Elephas maximus indicus: one gene and its partners. The main gene of each other region encodes a partner of the protein of the gene in region 2 in a complex. Links are inferred from orthologs where the notes say so. Each region holds a gene or a part of one and is shown on either strand. Other genes may lie near its edges.

Region 1 (8,079 bases), on a different chromosome or scaffold from region 2:
ACACACACACACACACACACACACACACACACACACTCACTCACTCACTCACTCACTCACTCACTCACTCACTCACTCACTCACTCTGCTCTGCCTGGTTTGGTCCACTGGAGCAAAATCAGTGATGTGGGTGTGTCTGATTGTAACTGACAAGGGCATGAGGTTGTGTGTGAGGGCCCTTGTATGGCTAAGAGTGACTGTCACCATGTGTGTGTATGTCTGACAGTGGTAGACAGTGTGGGGTGACAGACCCTGACACACTGTGTTTTTGGTGCATGGCTCCTGTGTCTGTCCAGTACTTAGGACTCTCCAGTACCTAGGACAGGGTAACTGCATAGTAGGCCCTCAGCAGCCATTGTCTGAGTGGATGGGTGGTGAGTGGGTGGGGCCACTACCTGTCTGTCTGAGTGGCTGTGGGCTGGAGGCTAGGCATATGCTGGGTGATTGGCACCCCTGTTCCCAGCTGACTGTGCTCTGTCCCTAGAAGCCTGGCATCCTGGGAGACTCTCCCCTGGGCCCCCTCCAGCCTGGAGCCCAGCCGGCCAACCCCCTTCTTGGGGAGCTGTCTGCAGGTAATGCAGACTCTACTGTCTCTCTGCTGGCACCACCCCACATCCCCTTCCCAAGCCCATTTCCTCACTGGGAGTGTCTGTTCCCAGCAGGGTGGCCTTGGGCAAGTGGCCTCACCTCTCCAGGTCTGTGTGTCTTCATCTGTCAGCTGGTGCTCAGTGTTCAGCCCCTTGTCCACTGGGCCCTGGTCCATGTGTGGAGGCTCCAGGGGGAGGGATCCTGCTCGGCCGGGCCCCTGACCCCTCCTTCTCTTTGTAGGGGGGGGCCTGCCCCCAGAGCTGCCACCTCGGCGAGGGAAGCCGCCACCCCTGCTGCCGCCACTGCTTGGCCCCTCTGGAAGTGACCGGGAGGCCATGGGCCTGGGCCCCTCAGCAGCCCAGCTCACTCCACCCCCTGCCCCCACGGGGCTCCGAGGCACTGGCCTTAGAGGCCTCCAGAAAGACAGTGGGCCTCTGCCAACGCCCCCTGGGGTAAGGCCCTGCCCTGTGCCCAGAGCCACATCCACCTCCCACCCTGCACAGTTCCCTCTGCCGGGGACCCTTGCAGATACCACCGTCCCGCCACAGGTCTCACTGCTAGGGGAACCCCCTAAGGACTTCCGGATCCCCCTGAATCCCTACCTGAACCTACACAGCCTGCTCCCAGCCAGCAACCTGGCGGGTAAGGAGGCCCGGGGCTGGGGGGGCCCTGGGAGGAGCCGCCGCCCAGCTGAGGGCCCCCTGCCTGCCCCCCCAGCCCCTGGAGGCGGCAGTGGTGGAGGTGGCAGCAGCAGCAAAGCCTTCCAGCTCAAGTCTCGTCTGCTCAGCCCCCTCACCAGCACCCGCCTGCCACCTGAGCCAGGGTTGCCTGACAGCTACAGCTTTGACTACCCCTCGGTAAGTACCCAGCACCCTGTGGCCAGCTATCCATGAGGGGCCAGCTGGTGTGGCCTTTTGTCCCAAGAGCAATTCATCTTCCAAACTGATATTTCTCCCCTACTGAGTCAGCTGGGTCCCAGGCCAGAGGCCAGGGAGACAATGGGAACATGCTGGACACAGTCCCTGCCCTTAAATCTGTCTGTCCATGGACCACCCCAGGTCCTGTTTTCTGTCTGCCTATCTGTCCCTGCAGCTCAGCCCGTGCATCTGTCTGTCTCTCAAGAGGCCTTCCTTAGGCCGTGTCTCTTTCTCCCTAGAAGCAGGGCTCAGCGACCTCTCTGTCCATCTGTCCTCACTTTAGTTTCTGTCTCTGTCCCTGGTTCCAGTCTCCTCCAGGTCAGAAGTTGCAAGCTGGCCATCCACAGGCCACCTGTGTTAGGGTTTTTTTTTTTTTAAAAAAGACCTGAAATAAATGCCAACATATAAAAATTGTGGATCTACACAACCCAGGTTCCCCGCTTGCCTTGCAAACCCCCCTACACCTGGCCCAGTGAGGGCTAAGCTTCTTCATGGTAGCCATCACTGGGCCCAGGTGCAGCACCCTCTTGGACAGGCACACACCCCATTTCATTCTGCCTGTGCTGCCCTCTCATGGCCCCTGCAGGCCGAGTTTGGCCCCATGTGCTAGCGTTTGCCTCAGCTGGGCCTCGAGAGGAGGGGGCGGACATGCCTGAGGGCAGCTGGGCCGTGGAGTTCAGCTGAGGCGGAGGTGGGTGCAGACTCCAAACCATCGTGCTTCTCCCACTTTCATTCAGGACATGGGACCTCGGCGGCTCTTTTCTCACCCACGAGAGCCCACCTTAGGGCCCCATGGACCCAGCCGACTTAAGGTAAGGGCTGTTGTGGCCACTCCTCCTCTGGGTGTACTGGTTAGCTACTGCTGCAGAACAAACCAGCCCTCCGATAGTGACTTAAAACAGTGAACATTTTGTTAGTTCTCACCGTTCTGTGGGGGTGGCGAGTGGTTCTTTGGAGTCATCCGGCCACTCGACTGCGAATGATGATCCCCGATGGTCTCACCTGCATGGCCGGCGGTTGGCAGGCTGATGACAGGGGCCTTAGCTGGGATGGTGTATCTCTGCTCCACACAGAGCCTGTGCCCATTCATGTGCTGGTGGTCCCAGGGTTCCCCAAGGAGGAGGGGAGGCCTGGTCTGCAGGCTTTATTCAGGACCCTGCTTGCAGCATCTTGCTGCTGTCCCCTTGGCCAAATCTAGTCACAATCATTTGGGGGATCCACACAAGGGTATAGACAGTAGGAGTCATGATTTCTTGGGGGCCAGTATTCCAATGGTCTGCCTCACTTAGCTCACCCCTTCTCTGCAGATGTCCCCCCCGCCCAGTGGCTTCGGCGACCGGAGTGGTGGGGGCCCCCTCTCTCACTTCTATTCTGGCTCGCCCACTTCCTACTTTGCCAGTGGCTTGCAAGCTGGCCTCAAGCAGAGCCACCTCAACAAGGTGAGGAGCTTCCCTGGCCAGGACATCCCCAGGGACAGCCAGAACGCAGAGCCCCTGCCTCCAGGGCTCTGGGAACTCTGAAGCCTAGGCCATGGCTCAGGTGAACCAAGATGTCCTTGTCTCAGTGCCTACATGTCAAGCACTGCCCCTGCCCAGCCTGCTGGGCTTCCCATCACTTCCTCCCCCAACAGCCCAGTGTGTGGGTGGTATTAAACCCAGTTGACAGATGAGGAAACAGAGGCTCTGCTCCAGGTCTCCTGGCTACTAAGTAGCAGGGGGAAGGTGTGAACCTGAAACCCCTTGCCTCTGCCCTAGGGACTCCTTCCTCTGGGCTACAGGAACTGACTCTCCTCTCTTTCTCCATTTTGCCCAGGCAGTCGGCTCCTCTCCGCTGGGCTCCGGAGAAGGGCTTCTGGGCCTCAGCCCAGGGCCCAATGGCCACAGCCACCTGCTGAAGGTACGGGCAGGGGACAGGGACCTGCAGGGCTGGGGAGCCGTGGCCCCTGGATGGCCCCTGACTCACCACCCCCCACCTTCTGTCTCCAGACCCCACTGGGTGGCCAGAAACGAAGCTTTGCCCACCTGCTGCCCTCGCCTGAGCCCAGCCCGGAGGGCAGCTACGTGGGCCAGCACTCCCAGGGCCTTGGTGGCCACTACGCGGACTCCTACCTGAAGAGGAAGCGGATTTTCTAAGAGGCCAGCACCAGAGATGCTCAAGGGCCTGCACTGAGTCGCTTTTGGGCCTTCTGGTGTTTTGTTTTTTTTTTTTGGTAATAGAAAAATCTTGGAAAGACTTTTCTGACCAACTAGCCGGAGCCCAGGGAGTGTGGGGGAGTCTGGGGGCCACTCTGCACCTTTGGCCTGCTCTGGGCGCCGAAACCCTGCAGCCTTACGAGAGAGGGCCCCAGCCTGCGCTCTCTCCCCTCTGCTGTCTCCTGCCCTCCACTGTGTCCACCTCTGGGAGTCCTCTCTTGCCTCGTTGCTCCTGTGTCTCGGCCTTTCGAGTGCCTTGGAGGTCTCCGTGACCTCCCGTGAAGATCAGAGACTGCCCCCCTTTTTTAACTTTGACAATTGACTTTTGTTTCCTTTTCTAATTTTTAACGTTTTTTAAAAACAATCCAGGAGAACCCCAGCTCTGATTCCTTCAAGGCTCAGCGTGTCTGTTCCTCTGGTCCACACCTTTTGGTTTGAATGGCCATTTTCGCTTTTCCCCGTGTCTGTTGCAGGCAAGGTCGTCTCCTGCCCCTGCCTGCCCACTCTGGCCTGTGCCCAGTCCTGGGTCCCCAACTCCCTGCCACAGTCCCCTCACCTTCAGATGCCTTAAAGCCAGGCCCCAGGCCCCAGCCAGCCAGAGCCTCTCAGACGCCAAGCTCTGGAGCTTGGCTCAGGACCAAACCGCTCTGGCCTGGGGATTGGGCCCCTTTGCCCAGGGTGCCTGCCCCTGGGACAGAAGGAAGTCAAAACCTTGGTCTTGGCACACCCACCCTCACCTTTGCGCCCAGGCCTACATGCAGAGCTGGGCTTTCTCTGCCAGCTGAAGCCAGTCCCCTGCTGTCTGTGAGTGTTGAGCATTGTATCCAGCCCAGTGAGCCTCTGCTGTCCACCCCCTTCTGAAGACAAACTCCACCTCTCCATTCCCAGGCCAGATCACCCGGAGCTGGCCTCCCTTTGGCCCAGTGCCCCACACCACCAACTCCATGTAGATACGCTTGCTCCTGCCCGTGAGCAGGACCTGTCTGCCAGAGGTGACCCTGGGCCCTGCTCCTGGCCAGCTGGGCCACCAGCTTCCTTCCCCAGACTCCGGCCCATCTCCACTCCAGGGGGTGTCCTTTCCCCAGTCCCACACAAACCTTTGCTGAATTAAAGTTTGTAAGTAAATGGGTTTAAAGAAAGCAAGACTGGCTGGTTCTTGGGCAAATAATGGGCCAGGGTGGGAGGTCTGGGATGGCCCACAGGTCTCCGCAGGCCCGGGTTACCTGGCCCCCTCCCGACTTTCCCCGCGTCCTCCCATCGTCCCACCCCTGGTATCCTGCACAGAAGCGCTCTGGCGCACACTTCAAGGAAACAGACGGCGCTTATGCTCGGATCTTTACGGATCTATTGTGCGTACTTCCGCAGCGCGCATGCCTAGTCCTCGGGTCACGTGATGCCTGTTATGGCCGCCTCCGTGGCCCGGAGCGGTGTGAATGCCGGGGTCTTGCTGCGGGCGGTCAAGGGGGTCTGGTGGGGCAGACTCGGGGGCTGTTCGGGGGCAGGGGAGGCAGCGACGCCGGCGACAACTAGGGAATTCCGGGCGACAGGTACCCAGGGTGCGCCGGGTGGGCAGCGTTAACCCGTCGGCCGCCGGTAGGGTGCGGCGCAGCCGCTCACTGAACTGTTTTCCAGGCTCGCGCCCAGCGGGGGAGGAGGAAGCCGGCGACCCTGAGCGGCCCCGGGACGTGTGAGTGCGGGGCAAGCCCCCCAGTCCGCATCCCACGAGGTTTCTCAGTACCCCACCGTGTCCCACAGCCTCATCTGCGGAGTACTCCTTCGGCCCCGCCCTATTTGCTTGTCCATCAAACCCCAGCCCCGACTCCCTAACCCTAGATTCCACCGGATTCGGGGTCCCTGCCCCAGTTCGGCATCTGTACTCCCCATCTGTCCCCAGGGTGAACGTGGTGTTCGTAGACCGCTCAGGCCGAAGGATCCCAGTGAGCGGCAGAGTCGGGGACAATGTTCTTCACTTGGCCCAGCGCCACGGGGTGGACCTGGAAGGTGGGAGCTCCGCTTAGAGAATTGGGGTGGCCCTTATTCATTCATTTGAAAAACCGCAAATCAGACTATGTCTTTCCACTGCTTAACCTTCCAATGGCCTCCCACCAAACATGGACCAAAATCCAAACTCACCGTGGCCACAACCCCAACCCAGCTCCTAACCATCCTGCGCTCAGCGCTTGGTTATTGAGCATTTACTAGAGACTAAAACTCTGGCCCTTCCGGAGCTTGTGTTTTCTTATTCTTTCTTCTCTCTATTCTAGCCACACTGGCCTCCATGCTGTTCCTCAAACAGCCAAGCTCATTCCTGCCTCAGGGCTTTTGCACTTGCTGTTCCCTCTGCCTGAAGTGCTTTCTGGCCAGATGTGGCTCCTCTGCACCCTGCATGTCTCAGCGTAAATATCATCTTGATGTCCCGGTCCCCTTAGCGTAGTTAAAGTTCCCATGCCCCAGTCACTCTTATCAGTTTACGGCTGTTTCGCTTGCTTCTTTTTCACCCATCCCATGACAAGAAGCAGAAACCCCATTTGCCACTTATCTATTGTCTATCATGGTACCTGAACATAAAAAAAAAAAAACAAACCTGTTGCAATCGAGTTGATTCCAACTCGTAGTGGCCCTATAGGATAGAGTAGAACTGCCCCGTCAGGTTTCCAAGGCTATAATCTTTACGGAAACAGACTGTCACATCTTTATCTCTCAGAGCAACTGGTGGGCTTGAACCGCTAACCAAAAGGTTAGCAACCGAGCACTTTAACCACTGTTAAACCAATGGTTAAGCACTTGCCGGCTAACGGCAAGGTTGTCAGTTTGAACCTACCAGGGGTTCTTCAGGAGAAAGACATGGTGATCTCTGCCTGTTAAGAGTAACCAACCCAAAACCAAACCCAGTGCCGTCGAGTCGATTCCAACTCATAGGGACCCTATAGGACAGAGTAGAACTGCCCCATAGAGTTTCCAAGGAGCGCCTGGCAGATTCGAACTGCTGACCTTTTGGCTAGCAGCCGTAGCACTTAACCACTACACCACCAAGGTTTCCCTGTTAAGAGTACAGCCAAAAAAAAAAATCCTGTGAGGCAGTTCTACTCTATTACATGGGATCAGCATCCACTCCATGGCACCCAAATAGAATGTAACAGGTGTTAAATCAGTATTGGCTGAAAAAATAATAGACACTACTTTAAGCGTGTTAACACATACTGATTGAATCTTTTTGACAACTCTAGGTAATAGGGAGACTGTTATCCCCATTTTATAGATTAGGAAACTGAGCCCCAGGTTATGTAGACTTGGTCCAAGGTCAAGTAAGTGGCAACATTAGATTCAGACCCATCCCATTTTCACGACTAATCTGTGCTACCCTTCTCTGAATTTTGAGCACCTACTGTTTGCCAGGCTCTGTGCTGGGGGCTGGGGAGACAGCAGTGTACAAGACAGATAAGACCCCTGTCATCTGTCACCAATTTCAACCTAATAGGGACCATAATCCAATAGTTCTACGAGTAAACATGATATCATGAGCAACTGGGAAGAGTAGTCTGAAGGAAGATGTGCAGGGGTTGTCCCGTAGTGGTGGGAGCCTCATTTAATCATTAGAGATGTTGAGGGCATGAATGGAGGGGGGCATCAGGGCAGGCCTACCTCGAGTTCTGTTGTGGAATCCAGCCAGCCCCTAGACCAGCTCCTTATCTCTGGGAAGTTAAGAGCCTTGGCTGGCAGTCCAGGACATAGGTTGGAAGACGAGTCTTAGAGGCAAATGCCTGTGTTCAGATTTTGCCTCTTACCAGCTGTGTGGCCCTCGGCAAGGTACTTAGCTTCTCTCGGCCTCTGTTTCCTCATTTATAAAATGGGATAATTCAGTTCCTATCCCACTGGGTTACTGGGAGGATTAAACAGGTGTCATGCACATGGTTAGCACCCAGTGAATAGCTGGGATTATTGTATAACTAGATCATTTTAATGTCCTGTGATGAGAATGCTATCAAGGTAGGAAATGGCCTCGGAAGAGATGCCCGGGTATTACTTGGAGTTTCAAGGCCCAGACATTTTGTGCCCAGGAGACCAGGAGGATGGGCAGATTAGACACAGGGCCCAGTGGTGGCATTTGAAGGCATACAGGGAGGTGCTCCTGGGTCTGGAGGCTGCCCTTCCAGCTCCACCCACATTGCAGGACATGTCTGAGAGGGAGAAGAGGAGGGACAGTTTAGCATGCTATTGTTTGCTCGTGACAAATGGTGCTTGAGCATCTACGGCATGTGCCAGGCTCAGTGCTAGGTACAGAGAGGCTAGGGCAGGCCTGCGGGGAACAGGTAAACCCAGAGGTCCAGATGTGATCAATGCTATACAAAAATTAAAAAGGGGTAATAAGGGCAAGAGGGACA
Region 2 (6,974 bases):
TTTGGTAATTAGGGTAATGCTAGCTTTATAAAATAAATTAGGACATGTTCCCTCTGCTTCTATTGTATGGAAGGGATTGTAAAGAATTGATATCATTTCTTCTTAAATGTTTGGTAGAATTCACCAGTGAAGGTATCTGGGTCTGGCGCTTTCTGTTTTGGAGGGTTTTTAAGTGTTGACTCAATTTCTGTAATGTATATAGGCACCTTCAGATGATCTACTTCTCCTTGCGTGAATTTTGGTAGATTGTATCTTTCAAGGAATTGGCCCGTTTTATGTAAGTTATTAAATTTGTGGGCATAGACTTGTTCATAATTTTCCTTTATTGCCCTTTCAATGTCCATGGATTCAGTACTAATATTCTTTCATTTCTGATATTAGTATTTGTGTGTTCGGTCTCTTTTTTTGTCTTGGTTAGCCTGGCTAGGAATTTATCAATTTTATTGATCTTTCTAAAGAACCAGCCTTTTGTTTTGTTGATTTTCTTTCTTAATTTTGTTTTCAATTATGTTGATTTCTGCTCTAATTATTTTTCTTCTGCATACTTTTTATTTAATTTGCTCTTCTTTTTCTAGTTTCCTACAGTTGGGTAAGGTGGAAGCTTAGATTATTGGTTTTAGATTTTCTGTTATATGCATTCAATGCTCTCAATTTCCTCTTAAACATTGCTTTTGCTGCGTCCCACAATTTTGATGAGTTGTATTTTCATTTTCATTTAATTCAAAATACGTTTTAAGAAGTAGCTAGACTGCTTCTTTGACCCATGTATTATTTCGAAGCATGTTGTTTAATCTCCAAATATTTTGAGATTTTCTAGCTGTGATTTCTAGTTTAATTCCATTGAGATCTGAGAGCGTTCTTTGTATGCTTTCTACTGTTTTAAATTTGTTAAGGTATATTTTATAGCCTAGGATTTGGTCTTCCTCAGTGAATATTCCATGTGAACTTGAAAAGATTATGTATTCTGTTGCTGTTGGATGAAGTGTTCTGTAAATGTCACTTAGATCCAATTGATTGATGGTGCTGCTCAGTTCATCTGTATCCTTACTAATTTTCCACCTGCTGGATCTGTCAGTTTCTGATGGAGGGGCCTCGAAGTCTCCGACTCTAATAGTGGATTTGTCTGTTCTTGCAATTCCGTCTGGTGGCGTAGTGGTTAAGTGCTACGGCTGCTATCCAAAAGATCGGCAGTTCGAATCCGCCAGGCACTCCTTGGAAACTGTATGGGGCAGTTCTACTCTGTCCTATAGGGTCACTATGAGTTGGAATCGACTCCACGGCAGTGGGTTTTTTTTTTTTTTTTTTGGTTTTGCAATTCTATCAGTTTTTTTGCCTCACATGTTTTGTCTCTCTGTTGTTAAGTGCAAACACATTAATTATTATTATATCTTTGTGGAGAATTGACTCCTTAACGTTATGTAATGCCCCTCTTTATCTCATAATTTTCCTTGCTCTGAGATGTGCTTTTTCTGAAATTAGCATAGTTACTCTAGGTTTTCTTTTGATGAGTGTTAGCATTTGTATATCTTTCTCCATCCATTTACTTTTAAATTACAAGGCATACTGAAAGTTAGAAAATGCAGTGTGAAGAGATAAAGCGAGCATCAGAACCAGACTCAGATATGGCAGAGATTTTGGAATTATCAGACCGTGCATTTTGAATAATTATAAATAATATGCTAAGCGCTGTAACAAAAAAAGTAGACAACTTGCAAGAACAGATGGGTAATGTAAGCAGAGAGATGGAAAGTCGGGTAAGAAAGAAAAGTAAATGCTAGAATCGAAAAACACTGACAAAAATAAAGAATTCCTTTGATGGACTCATCAGTAGATGGGACATGAAGAGTAAAGAATCATTGACATTTCAATAATGTGAAAACCTAATTATGCTGTGCAGAGTGGAGTCAGGAAGCTAGAGAGGTAGTCTGGGGGCTTGTGACACGTTAACAAATCTGGATTTTGCAGGTGAAAAGAACCCCTGGAAGGGTTTGAGTCGTGAAGCGAAGAGGTCCCACTCTGGCTGCAGTGTGAAGAATGGATTTGTGGAGGCGGGGAGATGACCCTGTGGGGCTCATATGAAGGGTCAACGGAGGGAGCCTCTGACATTGTTTTTAGACTGTGAGAAACTTTGGCATCTTTATAGGCTCAGAGAAAAGAGCCAGAAGAAAGAGAGATGTTGAAGATGTGGGAGAGTAGAGATACCTGGTAGCCCAAGGAGGGGGTGATATAAAGGTGCAGGTGGGCTGGAAGGGAGGGATAACTGATGGGTCGGTGGGATGATGTGTACAAGAAACTGACAATAGTTTATGTTCATACAGTAAAACCTGTGAAGGGTAGAAACTGTGTAAGGTGGAAACCTGTCAGAGAAGGAAAATGCAAATATTTTCTACTAAAACGAGCAATAGAAAAGTGGTAAGACCACACCCTGTCAGAGGCAGAAAACTTGCAAGACCTGGAAAAACGCAGACCTGTTGAGTTTCGGCTCTCACAGGTTTCACTGTACATCCTTTTATGGTGCAGAGAGGCAAAAATGAAAAGCACCAGTGACCTTTCTTGAATCTTCCTCAATTGTTAAGGACTTGATCTTAATATTGGACCTTTTACCCAACAGACCATGTAGGCCAACATTTTCTCCTAATGTGTTTGCTGAAGGTAAAAGTAGATGTCTCAACCAATATAACATTTAAATAAGAGGTTATTTATTATTTTTCACTGAAAGGATTAAATGTAACTCAGAAATACTAGAAAGGCCATGGGGAGAGATGATCCCAAGAGTGGGCTCAGTAGGCTATCGTGGTCTTCTGATTGCTCCCTCTTCTGCTGGTGTTACAGTCAGCACCACAGCACTGTCTCCATCTCTCCAGTGTGACCAAGGAGGAGAAAGAAGAGGATGGTGTATCACCTAAGCAGATCTTATAGGCCCTGATCCCACTCATACCAACCAGAGATTTGGTGCCAGTTTCTGCAGAAATGGAAGGCTACCTTTCAAAATAGAGGTTGGTCATTCCAAGGAAGTGATACAGTTTCTCTTCCAATTGCTAATCAACAGAGAAGTGGTAGAAACAAAGTCAAAACCCATTGCCATCAAGTCAATTCCAACTCATAGTGACCCTATAGGACAAAGTAGAACTACCTACCCCATTGGGTTTCCAGGGAATGCCTGGTGGATTCAAACTGCCAGCCGTTTGGTTAGCAGACATAGCTTTTAACCACTACACCACAAGGATTTCCTAACAAAGTCAGGATGCAGGAAAAGCCTGGTGGCTAATGCAAACAGTTTGGCAGGTTTAACCTCCCTCCATTTCCGCATTTTTGTTAGTTTTATTATTTATACTTTGTCAAGTTTTAAAACATGCGCATTGTTTTTTATCATCATTCCCATATGTATTAGTATTAGGTACATATTTAAAGCGATTCTTGTTTTTCACATTCTTTATTTTCGCATTCTTATTTTGTACTTTTGGTTTTTGTATTTTGCACTGAGTTTTTTACCTATTAGATTTTAATACTTGTGTAAGAATTGGAAGCCTTGGTGGCGTAGACCCACCAGGCGCTCCTTGGAAACCCTATAGGGCAGTTCTGTTCCGTCTTACAGGGTCGCTATGAGTCGGAACCGACTCCACAACGGGTTTAAGTAAGAATCGTGGCATCGAAACTTAAATAAATGTATTTCAGAACTTTCAGAGAATAAGCAATAAGTTCTTGTGCTTTTTATCACTGTTTATGGAAAGACAATAGCTGCGCAGTCTTAGTTACGGCAAGTAACTCGCTTCCGAACCTGGACGGCCCTGTAGCGCAACCCGGAAGACGCAGTGCCAGCTGGGGCCGCCAGGGGCCGCCAGAGCCGACGGCGCCCGACAGCGCCGCTCTGTGCGTAGCCTGCGCGGGGCGGGCACGGAAGCTTTGCCCTGAGATTGCGGCGCACTGCATCCTGGGTTAGCGTAGCCATGGCGGCTCGTGTCCTTTGTGCCTGTTTCCGCCGCCTACCCGCGGCCTTCGCGCCCCTGCCCCGGTCCACCACGCTGGCCGCAGCCCGGCCACTCAGCACCGCCCTGTGTCCCGCGGGGATCCGGACGAGACCCCGGGCTCCGGAGCCAATCTCGATTCTCGCGCAGGTGACTCGCGGTGACTTTGCTGGGGCCCGGCAGGGGTCAGGGATCGGGCACGCTCCGGGATGGGGAGCGGGGGCCCGACTGAAAGGGGAGGGAGTCGGGCCTTGGGGCGGCGAGTCGGGGCTAGCAAGGTCTGCACGGGAAGGCCGAGGAGACCTAGGGCGGGCAGCGGGACTGCGCCAGTTGCAGGTGGGGTGACCCCGAGGGCATCTGGCTCGCTCCCCGACCTCACTGACATAACGGGACTTGGTTGATTTAAGCGGGGAGGTGGGGTCACCTAGGCCCCCTGACCCTGGCCCCCAAGGCCCGGTTATGAGCAAGAGCACAGACTCCCGAGTCAGACCCTCGAAAGGTGGCTGCCATTTACTGAAACTTTGCAAAAGTCTCCTCATGTCTGGAAGCCTCAGTCTGATCCATGGAATCGAGATACTGGTCTCTGTCTTATGGAAGTGCGGTGAGAGTTAGTGAGATCAGATCCAGCACCTACTGCGGTGCTTGGTAAGCTCTCAAAATACTGATGACTGTTATTTCTAGTAATAATCATAAACACCGTGATAGCTTTCTAGGGGACGGCGAGTAACAGGGGCCACACTGGCCTACAGCCTTCTCCAGAGTAGTTCTCTTCCCGGATTTCTGTCTGAAATTTTCCCTGTGGCATCTTTTGCCCGGTTTGTGGGCCTTCTGGAAGAAAGGGTGGAAAACAAGTAGGATCTAGCTTATCTGATGAAATCTGTGTGAGGCCACAACTCTCAGCAGGGCAGTGATTGTCAATCCTAGCTGCACATTAAGATCTCTTGGGTAGCTTTCAACCCCATTTCCACCTCACCCCCCCACCCCCACCCCCACCCCCACCCCCACCCCCACCCCCACCCCCACCCCCACCCCCACCCCCACCCCCACCCCCACCCCCACCCCCACCCCCACCCCCACCCCCGCAGCTCTCATTCTGGCTTCTGGGATATATCTCTGGCATGGGTTTGTTTTTTTTTTAAGTTTCCCAGGTGACTCTGAAGTGCAGATGAGATGAAGAGCTAGTGCCTTAAGGTAGGATAGAATCTCCCAAGGTCAAGGTGAGAAACCCATTTCAAACTCACTGACTTCATATAACACAGTGGTTTCAACTTTGACCAAATGTTAGAATTAAAAAAACAGGATAAGCAGGCCAATTCAATCAGAATCTCTAGAGGTGAGGCCTGGGCATCTAATTTTTTAAAGTCCTCAGGTGATTCTTTGTGCAGCCAGTGTTGAGATTCACTGATGGTGTAATGGATTAATTCAGAGTGTTATCCTATTAGTTGGATCAAAAGGTTAATGTTTCACTTTGAAGTTAAGGGCTAAAAGGGCAGTAGGTAGAGTTGCTGCTAAGTGTTTTGTTCCTGATTTCAACATTAGGCTGAAATGCGAAGTGATTGTCCCTATTCTCAGAGCATTGTTTCTCAAACTTCATTGTGCATAGAGATCACCTGGGTTACAATGTGGATTCTGATTGAGTAAGTCTGGGAAGGGCCCTGAGAGTCTTCATTTCCAGTGGGCTCCCAGAAGGTACTGATGCTGCTGGTCCTTGAACCACACTTTGAGTAGCAAAGTTTGAGTAGCAAACCACACTTTGAGCATGTCCTTGAATATGTTCCTCTACCTCTGCTTGGTTCATATATACAATAGAACCGTTTTATATTTGCATAGTGGTTTTGACTAAGTGCTCGCATTTAACATAGTTACATCCTTCATGGATTGAGGTGGAGAATAAATACTTGTTCATTCAAAGATACTGAGGGACAGCTATGTGCCAGGCCTCCTGCTGGTTGTTAAGTGATACTGAGATGAATACTAAAGAAAGACATTAATTCATGTTTTCATTGGACACCTTGCAGCCCACATGTTAAACTTGCCAGCTTCTTTGCCAGTGCTGTCTTCTATAGCCTGTTGTCACACTATTCTCCCTTGGTTCTTCCCTTAGCTCTCTGCTCCTACCCTGTTTCCTTGGGCTCTTTCTCTACCTAACAGTTAAACGTCAGTGTGCTCCCGAGTTCTCTTACCACACAGTGTCTTTGAACTGCCTCTTCCTCTCTCTTAGTTTCTGTTATTCCCTGTATTCCAATCACTCCAAATCTCTACCTCCAACCATTGTTAGTCTCCATCTGGACTGTTGCTTGTTCTCTCCACTCCCCTTCTCAGATCCCATCATTGCAACTACCTGTATCAGTACCCATTGAGTCAAATCGAATCTGATTCATAGTGACCCTATAAGTAAGAAAAAAAGAAGAAAAACAAGGGTAGCGGCCTAAAATGGAGCCAGGAAGCCTTAATCTTGGTCCAGGTGGGACCCGAATCTAAACTTGCTAGCAGCAGCCAGAACGCAAAGAGAAGTTCCAAACAGTTCTGTGGGACACATTACCCAGATGAAGAGAAACCACTTATGCAGGAACCCACTGCCATTAAGTTAATTCTGACTCTTAGCAACCCTATATATATGCAGGAAAGGCTTGGCTATTCCTGGCACTGGCGCCGAAAGTCATGTCTGACAGTGATGGACTCAGAGCTGAGGTTTGTCCGTGTCATTCATTCTCCAGTAAAACAGAGTCCTGGCCCCTGACCCTGGCCCCAAAAGCCCTGCAGACCTGGGCCCTGGCTCTCTTCCACCTCAGTGCCTGTCATCAGTGCACCACTTTGCCCTTTAATGTGCAGCAACATGAACTCATGTCTTCCCACACAGACACACTACACTTTCATGCCTCATTTTCTTTTGCTGGACTGCCCTTCCCTCTCCTGTTCTTTGTCTGAAGCCCTGGTGGCACAGTGGTTAAGAGCTTAGCTGCTGACCAAAAGGTCAGCAGTTCAAATCCACCAGGCACTCCCTGGAAA
Region 3 (7,377 bases), on a different chromosome or scaffold from region 2:
CCGTCAAGTCCACTGCTGCTCATACAGCAACGCTACAGGACAGAGAAGAAATGCCCCACAGAGTTTCCAAGGCTGTAATATTAATGGAAGCAGACTGCCACATCTTTCTCCTGAGGAGCAGCTGGTGGGTTTGAACTGCCAACCTTTCGATTAGCAGCTGAATGCTTAACCACTGTACCACCAGGGCTCTTTTCTATAAAGATTACAGCCAGGTAAACCCTATGGGGCAATTCTACTCTGTCACATGGGGTTCCTATGAGTCAAGAATCAACTTACCGGCACCAAACAACAACAGTATTTGGTAATATCCCTATCACAGCACTTGTCACAATAAATTATTGCTTTGCTTATCTAGTCTTCTACAGGTTTACTTAAGGGGTTTTGGAGGGCTCTCCTGTATCTCCATCATCTTGTACAGTGTATGGCACTTAGGGAATGTTCAATAAATGCTGAATGAATGATTAAGAAATCACTTTAGTTTGTTCATCTGTAAAATGAGTCATATCTAAGGTCCCTTCCAGTTGCATATTCTCTAAGAACTAAGGATGGATAAAAACAAATGAGGATAACAGAAGCAGATCCACAGAGTGGAATCATTCCTAAATTATAATATCAGAAACTGCTTAAACAAGATTTTCTTTACACATCATTTTGATATACAAGCTTAAAAACCAAAATCAAAATCCAGATCCACCGTCATCCAGTTGATTCCAACTCTGCTTATTACAGCTGGAGAAATTTCTCTTCAAAAGCATTAAGTGCTCATTGTAATATAAGGCAGTATGATTTCACAAAGAACTACTGGTAGTTAATAATATGGACAATTGAGCATAATTTCTTTTTTACATTTTCAGGCCTAAGCGGTAGTAAAGGACCCCTGGCGGCTCAATGGTGAAGCGCCGGACTAACTGAAATGACATCGGTTCGAATCCACCACTGGCTCCAAAGAAGTAAAGACCTGGCTGCCTGCTCTCATAAAGATTACAGCCTAAGAAACTCTATAGGACAGTTCTGTCCTATAGAGTCACTATGAGTTGAAATCAATTCGATGACACACAAGTGGTAGTAGGAGGGTACCCAAACCCACGGCCATGAAGTCGATTCGGACTCATACCAACCCCATAGGGTTTCTGAGGCTGTAAATCTCTACGGGCAGACTGCCACACCTTTCTCCCGTGAAGCCACTGGTGGTTAGCAGTGGATCACTTTAACCACTGTACCACCAGGGTTCCTAGTAGGTGGCTACTCCCTAGTTTATTTATAGTCACTTTGCTAAGACAAGGAGCCGTGGTGACACAGTAGTTAAGCACTTAACTGCTAACAAAAAGTAGGCAGTTTGAACCAGGGATTCGAACAGGTTCCTCTGGTTCGAACCCCTGGTGAGAATTTGCATTTCTAACAAGGTCCCAGGTGATGCTAATGCTGCTGGTTAAGGACCAATTCTGAGAGCCACTACCAGAGCAGTAGTTCTCAGAACGTATTATACATTAAGAATCACCTAGGAATCTTGTTAAAACATAGACTGATTCGGTATGTCTGGGGTAGAAACGAAAATTCTCAGCAGCAGTTAGAACAGGAAGAATCCGTTCAAAGCCCTGGTTTAAACCCACCAGCTGGTCCACCAGAGAAAACAAGTGGCAGTCTGCTTCCGTAAAAATTACACTCACTGCACAGCAACTCTATAGGACAGAGTAGAACTGCCCCGTAGGGTTTCCAAGGATCGGCTGGTAGATTCGGAAGACTTACCCTTTGGTTAGCAGCCAAACACATAACCACTGCATCACCAGGGCTTCAGCTCTATAGAGATTACAGCCTTGGACACCCTATGGGGCAGTTATACTCTGTCCTACAGGGTCACTATGAATCGGAATCAACTCAACAGCATCGGGTTTGGTTTTTTGGTTTTGTAGGAAACCCTGATGGCGTCGTCGTTATGGCAGTTGGAATCCACTGGGCGCTCCTTGCAAACTTTATGGGGCAGTTCTACCATGTCTGATAGGGTCATTATGAGCCGCAATGGACTCGGGGCAACAGGTTTTGGTTTCAGGGTTTTAAGAGTTCTCAGCCCAGTATGGAACGCATATTAAAGGACATATGAATAAGGGTCCATTCTCAGCTTCTGGCCGCATTCCACTTTCAACCTCAACTAGTCATCTCTGCAAACGTGACCTGCAAAAACAGGAGATTTAGCTTTGGTGTTATGATTTTTCATTAGTCTTTAAGGCAAGGATATTCAACGTTCTGATAAATCATTTCAAATAACACAGTAAGTCTTTTTGTGAAAACTTAGTTTAGGATTAACTGGGAAGGTATCACTTTCATACCTAGTGATTTCTCAACATTCCTTGTACTAACAGATGACTAGGCTACTCAAGCAAACTATTTAAATTTTACATATTTATTTGGAAAGTTTCACTTGGTTACAACAAAGTTAAGTCATTTAGATACATCAATTGTAAAATTGCTTGATAATTAGGCAATTGTATATGGTATTAACTATGCCAGCTAAACTTTCTAAATGAAAGCAAAATACAATAACATAACTCCCACTATTTCTAAACAGGCCAAAAAAGGTTCATTTTTTGTCTTCTCATTTTGATAGTTTTCTGTAACTTTCATCAACATTGTGGTTTTCCCAGATGCCACATATCACTTTGTATCACCAGCACACAAAATTGTATCATATTAAGAATGAACTTTATGTGATTCCATTGGTCTTGAATCCTTTAAAAATTGTCACAGAAAAATCTCAAAATTTTAAAAGTACTTTCAATAAATCCTTGGCAAGATTTGCCCAGAGGCCTGACAGACCAGCAAAAAGTGACAGAAGTTCTGTTACCTTGTAAAAGATCTATTTTGAGACATATAGATGTATGAGACCTTGAAGAAATCCGACAGGAAGATCAAAAGGTTAGTAAAAGCATTTTCTCGCTGTCTTTTTATTAAGTGCCACTGCCAACAGGACTAGTGAGTAAATTTGGACCCAAAGACGTGTTGCCAGTACACGTCCCAAGTACGGTAAGGTCAGAAAAGAAAGAGTCTCCTGCCCCTAAAGTTCCTGAAAACACCAAGTTGCTTTGATTGTGTACAAGTGTTCCACAGTCTGGGCGATCCGCAATCTTTTCAAAACTAGATACGTTAAAATACTTTAGAACACAATCATAACTCAGTGGTTGGAAAAAAGATAGATTAATGGAAACGTTTGTCTTTTAAGCATGAAGTTGCTCCTCGCTGTGTTTGGGGCAGAAAGCTGTGGTTCTTCCTAACGTTGACTATACAACGCAAGACTCCAAAAGTACGTGCTTTGCACGCAGTCACTAGAAGCCGCTCGGGCTTCCCTGCGCCCAGTCCCACGCTCAAAAACCACTACGTAACACGGTGGTTCAGAAAAGTTGAAGTCTTCTGAGAAAAAACCCCGGGAGAAGGCTTAGCTATGAAAAGCTTCAGGAAGAAACTTCCAGAGCTTCTTGCCTTGGGTCTGAAATGATCACCACCGTCCTTAAACTCCTAAATACCCCCAATTAACCTACAGCCCAGGCGGCCCCGCCTTTACACACTTATTAAATTACAAAACTGAATAACTCATGACACAAAAGCAAAAACTCGAGTCTCAAAAAATAACCCGTTAACACAGAAAAGTCTACGGCCAAGTGCAAACTCCCCACCACACGAACCGACCGCGTCGCATCCCCACGCTGCAGCGAAGCCCGCACTCACCCACCGCTCACCCCGGAAACCCAGACTGCAGGCGTTTCAAACTCAGAAGCGCAGCAGGCCCGCTCGCTCTCACGGGGAGGACGGCAACCCCCCACCGCAAAGCCATCCGTGCACGCTGGGCGCTGCCATTTTGACCAGAAACTGGGCCCTGCCCTGCAGGCCCCTTAAGCCTGTCGCCCTGAACGGAGCCTGCATGCCACAGAAACACTGCCCCGTCTCCTCCGCGACCCTCGCGCCCCAACCCCCGCGCGGCGAGAGCCTTGCGTTCCCTGCTAGCCGACCACGTTCGGCCGCAACGCGACGCCCCCGACCGCCCCGCACCGCCTCTCAGGCAGCGCCGCGGGCGGCCGCAGCCGATGGGGGCGGGGCGTCCGCGGCTGGGTGCCTCTGCGGCCAGCGGAGGCGGAGCGCGCGCGCTCGGTAACCCAGCAACGAGGCGCCCGGCCCAGCGGGGCGCTGCCGGGTGACGCACCCTCAGATACAAATGTCTCCACTTCAAGCCCGAGTGGTTCGCGGAGACGCTCCGTGACGGAGCGGGAGCCCGCAGTGCTCCAGCCTCCGACCCCATCCCCGAAGAGGGGACTCGGCGCAGAGGCCGTCCCAGACCCCAGCCCCACAGCCCGGCCCGTCAGTTGGCGGCCCCTCCTCCCGCGTGCCGCGCCGCGCCGCGCCGCCCCCGCCGCCTTAGCTGCCCGGCGCCCTGCCTGCGTGCTTTTCCTAAGGTCGCGCGGGGCTCCCGGGCGCCTTCCAGAGGCGAGGCCAGGACGCAGGGCTCGCGCGGACTGGGCCAGAAGCCCGGACCCCGCCAGCAAGGCGGAGCACTGCGTTTTGTTCGTGGTGTTTTTATTTTTTTGCATAGGCTGAAATTTTGTGGGTTGCGTTAGGGACCTCCGCAAAAAGGACCCATTTATTATTTTATTTTTTTTTCCCCAAAATGGCAGCCTCCAGCCGCGCACAAGTGTTAGATCTTTACCGGGCGATGCTGAGAGAGAGCAAGCACTTCAGCGCTTACAACTACAGGTGACCCAGCGGGCAGCTGCGGGGGCCGGGAGGGGCCGGGCGCGGGATGCCCGAGAAGGTCCCGGGGAAGGGAGTCCACCCACCCGGCGCCGCGTGCTCTTGGCGGCGGCGGGAAGGGCTCCTTCAGCCAAAAGCGTGCACCTGCTGACGGGGGTGGGTCCGGAAACCTCGTGGTGAGGAGCCCTGGGTTTGCGCTTGTAGCAGAGAACACCTTTCCGTTCTTTGGACATTTCTCTCCAAAGCGAAGTCTTTGGTACGTGCTTTTGACGCACGGTTGGTGTTTCTGCTGTAAAAATGATGGACATGAAAGGTGCAAGTGATAAAGCTAAGACCAGTTTCTTGCAGACACAGGAGTTTCCCTAGTAATTGGGAGAGTTGACAGTGGACGTAACCACTTGGTGGCACATGTCCACAGAGCTGAAGGCTCTCGCTAGCCACCCCTTTCATTTCACAGGTATCTTAATTAGCTTTTTTGGTTTTACTAGAATCAAATGCATTCTAGTTAGGTTATGGGGGGGTGTGGCATAAAAATAATACACAAATAGTGGTAAGGGAGATGGGTGTCACAAGGTATCAGGAGCAGAAACATTCGTTTGTACTGGCCTCATCAAACCTGCAGCCAGATTATTCGGCTTTAGCAGCAAGAGAAAGGACCCCAACTCTAGTGAGCCATTCTTAGCGAGGCGTACTTTCCTTGCCTGCCCCATTCTCCTATTTGTTCCTGAGTCACTTATTCTTACTCTTTATTACAATATGTTTTCTGTACTTCAGAACTTGTGCTTCATGTAACTTCTGACTTCACTGTGTGTATCTTATACATTTTCTCTCTACATGCTTTCAGATTTGATGTCTTCTACTAATTACCTGATTCTTTGTGAATTTGAGCCATGTTTCCAAGAGCAAGAATTTGGCTGGAGCAGCTCATCTTTTCACACCAGCCCTCATTTTAGATGACTGGCCAGCCAGCCTATAGATTGAGTGTCATAGGACCTTGATGCCTACCCTGGAACAAAATGTGGTTAGCTAGGTTCTCCCTGGTGGAGCCCTGGTGGCATAATGGTTAAGAGCTCAGCTGCTAACCAAAAGGTCGGCAGTTCAAATCCACTAGCCATTCCTCGGAAACCGTATGAGGCAGTTCTCCATCCTATAGGGTCGCTATGAGTCGGAACTGACTTGATGGCACCTAACAACAAGCAACAGCAGGCTCTTCCGTGGCTGTTATGTGAGCATGCTGGCCCTGTGATTGGTAGGTCCAGTTCATCGCGTCGCAGGAAAGGATGCTGAGTCTCTCACGCCATGACTGTCTCGTTTTTTAGAACCAAAAAACCTACTGCCGTCGAGTTGATTCCAACTCAAAGCGACCCCATAGGACAGAGTAGAACTGCCCCACAGGGTTTCCAAGGAGCCGCTGGTGGGTCCAAACTGCCGACTTTCTGATTAGCAGCCAAGCTCTTTAACCACTGTGACACTAGGGCTCCATTTTTTAGAAACCTGCATAGAAAAGGCACTTTTCCTGTAACTTAAGAACAACATTTAGGGCATGCCAAGGAGGTCATATCCACTAAGTAGTTAAAAGAAACATTTCATGAGAAAGCTTGATTTTACTTAATAATTTTGGCCTTGAAGGTAGAGGAAATAAACCCTATAATTTTTTTTTTTTATACTGGTAGAATTTTTAACAAGGATTAACCACATATATAACACCAAGTTATCGACTCGACGGCACTGGGCTGGGTATAACACCAAGTACTTAACTAGGTCTGTTGAGGGAGTGCACAAAATATGCAAGTGGAAACCAGCCATTGCCCCCACAGCCTGGAGGAAGTTATTTTGTCACCTAAATTTTCTTAGAATAAACAGGGCTGGGTATCAGCGTGCAGTTCACACGTTGAAGAAACAGTGACAGAGAGAGGGTCTGTCTGGGAGCACGTGGTAGAAAAGTCCAGCAGGAGCCCTCAGAGGATATCTAACCTTGGGCCAGTCACTCAGCCTCCGTATTTCAGTTTTCTTTCTGCAAAATTAGATTGTTGGACTGCATCATCTCTAAATACTCTTCTATGTCTGAAGTTCCATTTGGAAATGATTTATGAGGCAGGTGGTGAAACTTAGAAATGAAGTTAAGTTTTTTCGAGTGAATAAATGCTAAGTAAACTGCAGGAAGAGCTGTCAAAGCCATACCCAGTAGGCAGAAAATTGGAAATGAGTTTCAGTGTGAGGGACTATAAGGTAATGTACATTTAGAAAACAATTGTTGCAATTATACTTTGAGCCTTTGAGCTAAATTTATTATCTAAATATAAAAGCAGTATTCAAAGGAACCTGGTAATCATTTTGCACTGTTTCCTGAAATTGTGGACCTAAATCCTGAGATTCCTGCTAGTAACATCTCCTAAGATAATAAATTTACTTATAGGTTTTCTTTTTATTAAAGCTACATCCAGCAGTTTTCAAGGATAGCCTCTTCCTTCCTCTCTAATCTTAGCAACTATTTGTGGCTGATGACAGATCAGTAATAACATCTTCCGATCCCTTTTGTGTGCCACTACTATTTTCTGTGCTTTACGTCTATTACTGCATTTATTTTTTACAACAACCCTGTGAAGAAGGTAGTATTTTTATTTTCCACCGAGGAAACTGAAG

The links.
Region 1: NDUFAB1 (region 2) and FDX2 share a complex: the UniProt entries of both Homo sapiens proteins name them as parts of the mitochondrial core iron-sulfur cluster (ISC) complex. The link is inferred for Elephas maximus indicus from reciprocal best matches to the Homo sapiens genes NDUFAB1 and FDX2.
Region 3: the proteins of NDUFAB1 (region 2) and LYRM4 are in contact, whole or in part, in a crystal structure (PDB 6ODD), measured with the Homo sapiens proteins. The link is inferred for Elephas maximus indicus from reciprocal best matches to the Homo sapiens genes NDUFAB1 and LYRM4. Residues at the interface, in NP_004994.1 of Homo sapiens: Lys92, Asp111, Ser112, Leu113, Asp114, Val116, Glu117, Met120, Glu123, Asp124, Glu129, Ile130, Asp132; in NP_065141.3 of Homo sapiens: Arg6, Leu10, Ser11, Tyr13, Arg14, Leu17, Arg18, Lys21, Arg37, Phe40, Arg41, Lys44.

What each region holds. Positions count from the first base shown.
Region 1 is NC_064821.1:28,419,124-28,427,202, reverse strand, and holds the start of FDX2 (ferredoxin-2, mitochondrial), read left to right. Parts: upstream 1-4,987; 5' UTR 4,988-5,090; coding exon 5,091-5,244; intron 5,245-5,329; coding exon 5,330-5,384; intron 5,385-5,591; coding exon 5,592-5,698; intron 5,699-8,079. Other genes in the region: RAVER1 (ribonucleoprotein PTB-binding 1), read left to right, coding at 485-572, 829-1,040, 1,137-1,445, 2,243-2,317, 2,813-2,944, 3,318-3,401, 3,491-3,637. UniProt on the Homo sapiens protein: Electron donor, of the core iron-sulfur cluster (ISC) assembly complex, that acts to reduce the persulfide into sulfide during [2Fe-2S] clusters assembly on the scaffolding protein ISCU.
Region 2 is NC_064830.1:83,810,073-83,817,046, reverse strand, and holds the start of NDUFAB1 (acyl carrier protein, mitochondrial), read left to right. Parts: upstream 1-3,907; 5' UTR 3,908-3,947; coding exon 3,948-4,115; intron 4,116-6,974. UniProt on the Homo sapiens protein: Carrier of the growing fatty acid chain in fatty acid biosynthesis.
Region 3 is NC_064819.1:47,044,806-47,052,182, reverse strand, and holds the start of LYRM4 (LYR motif-containing protein 4), read left to right. Parts: upstream 1-4,335; 5' UTR 4,336-4,651; coding exon 4,652-4,737; intron 4,738-7,377.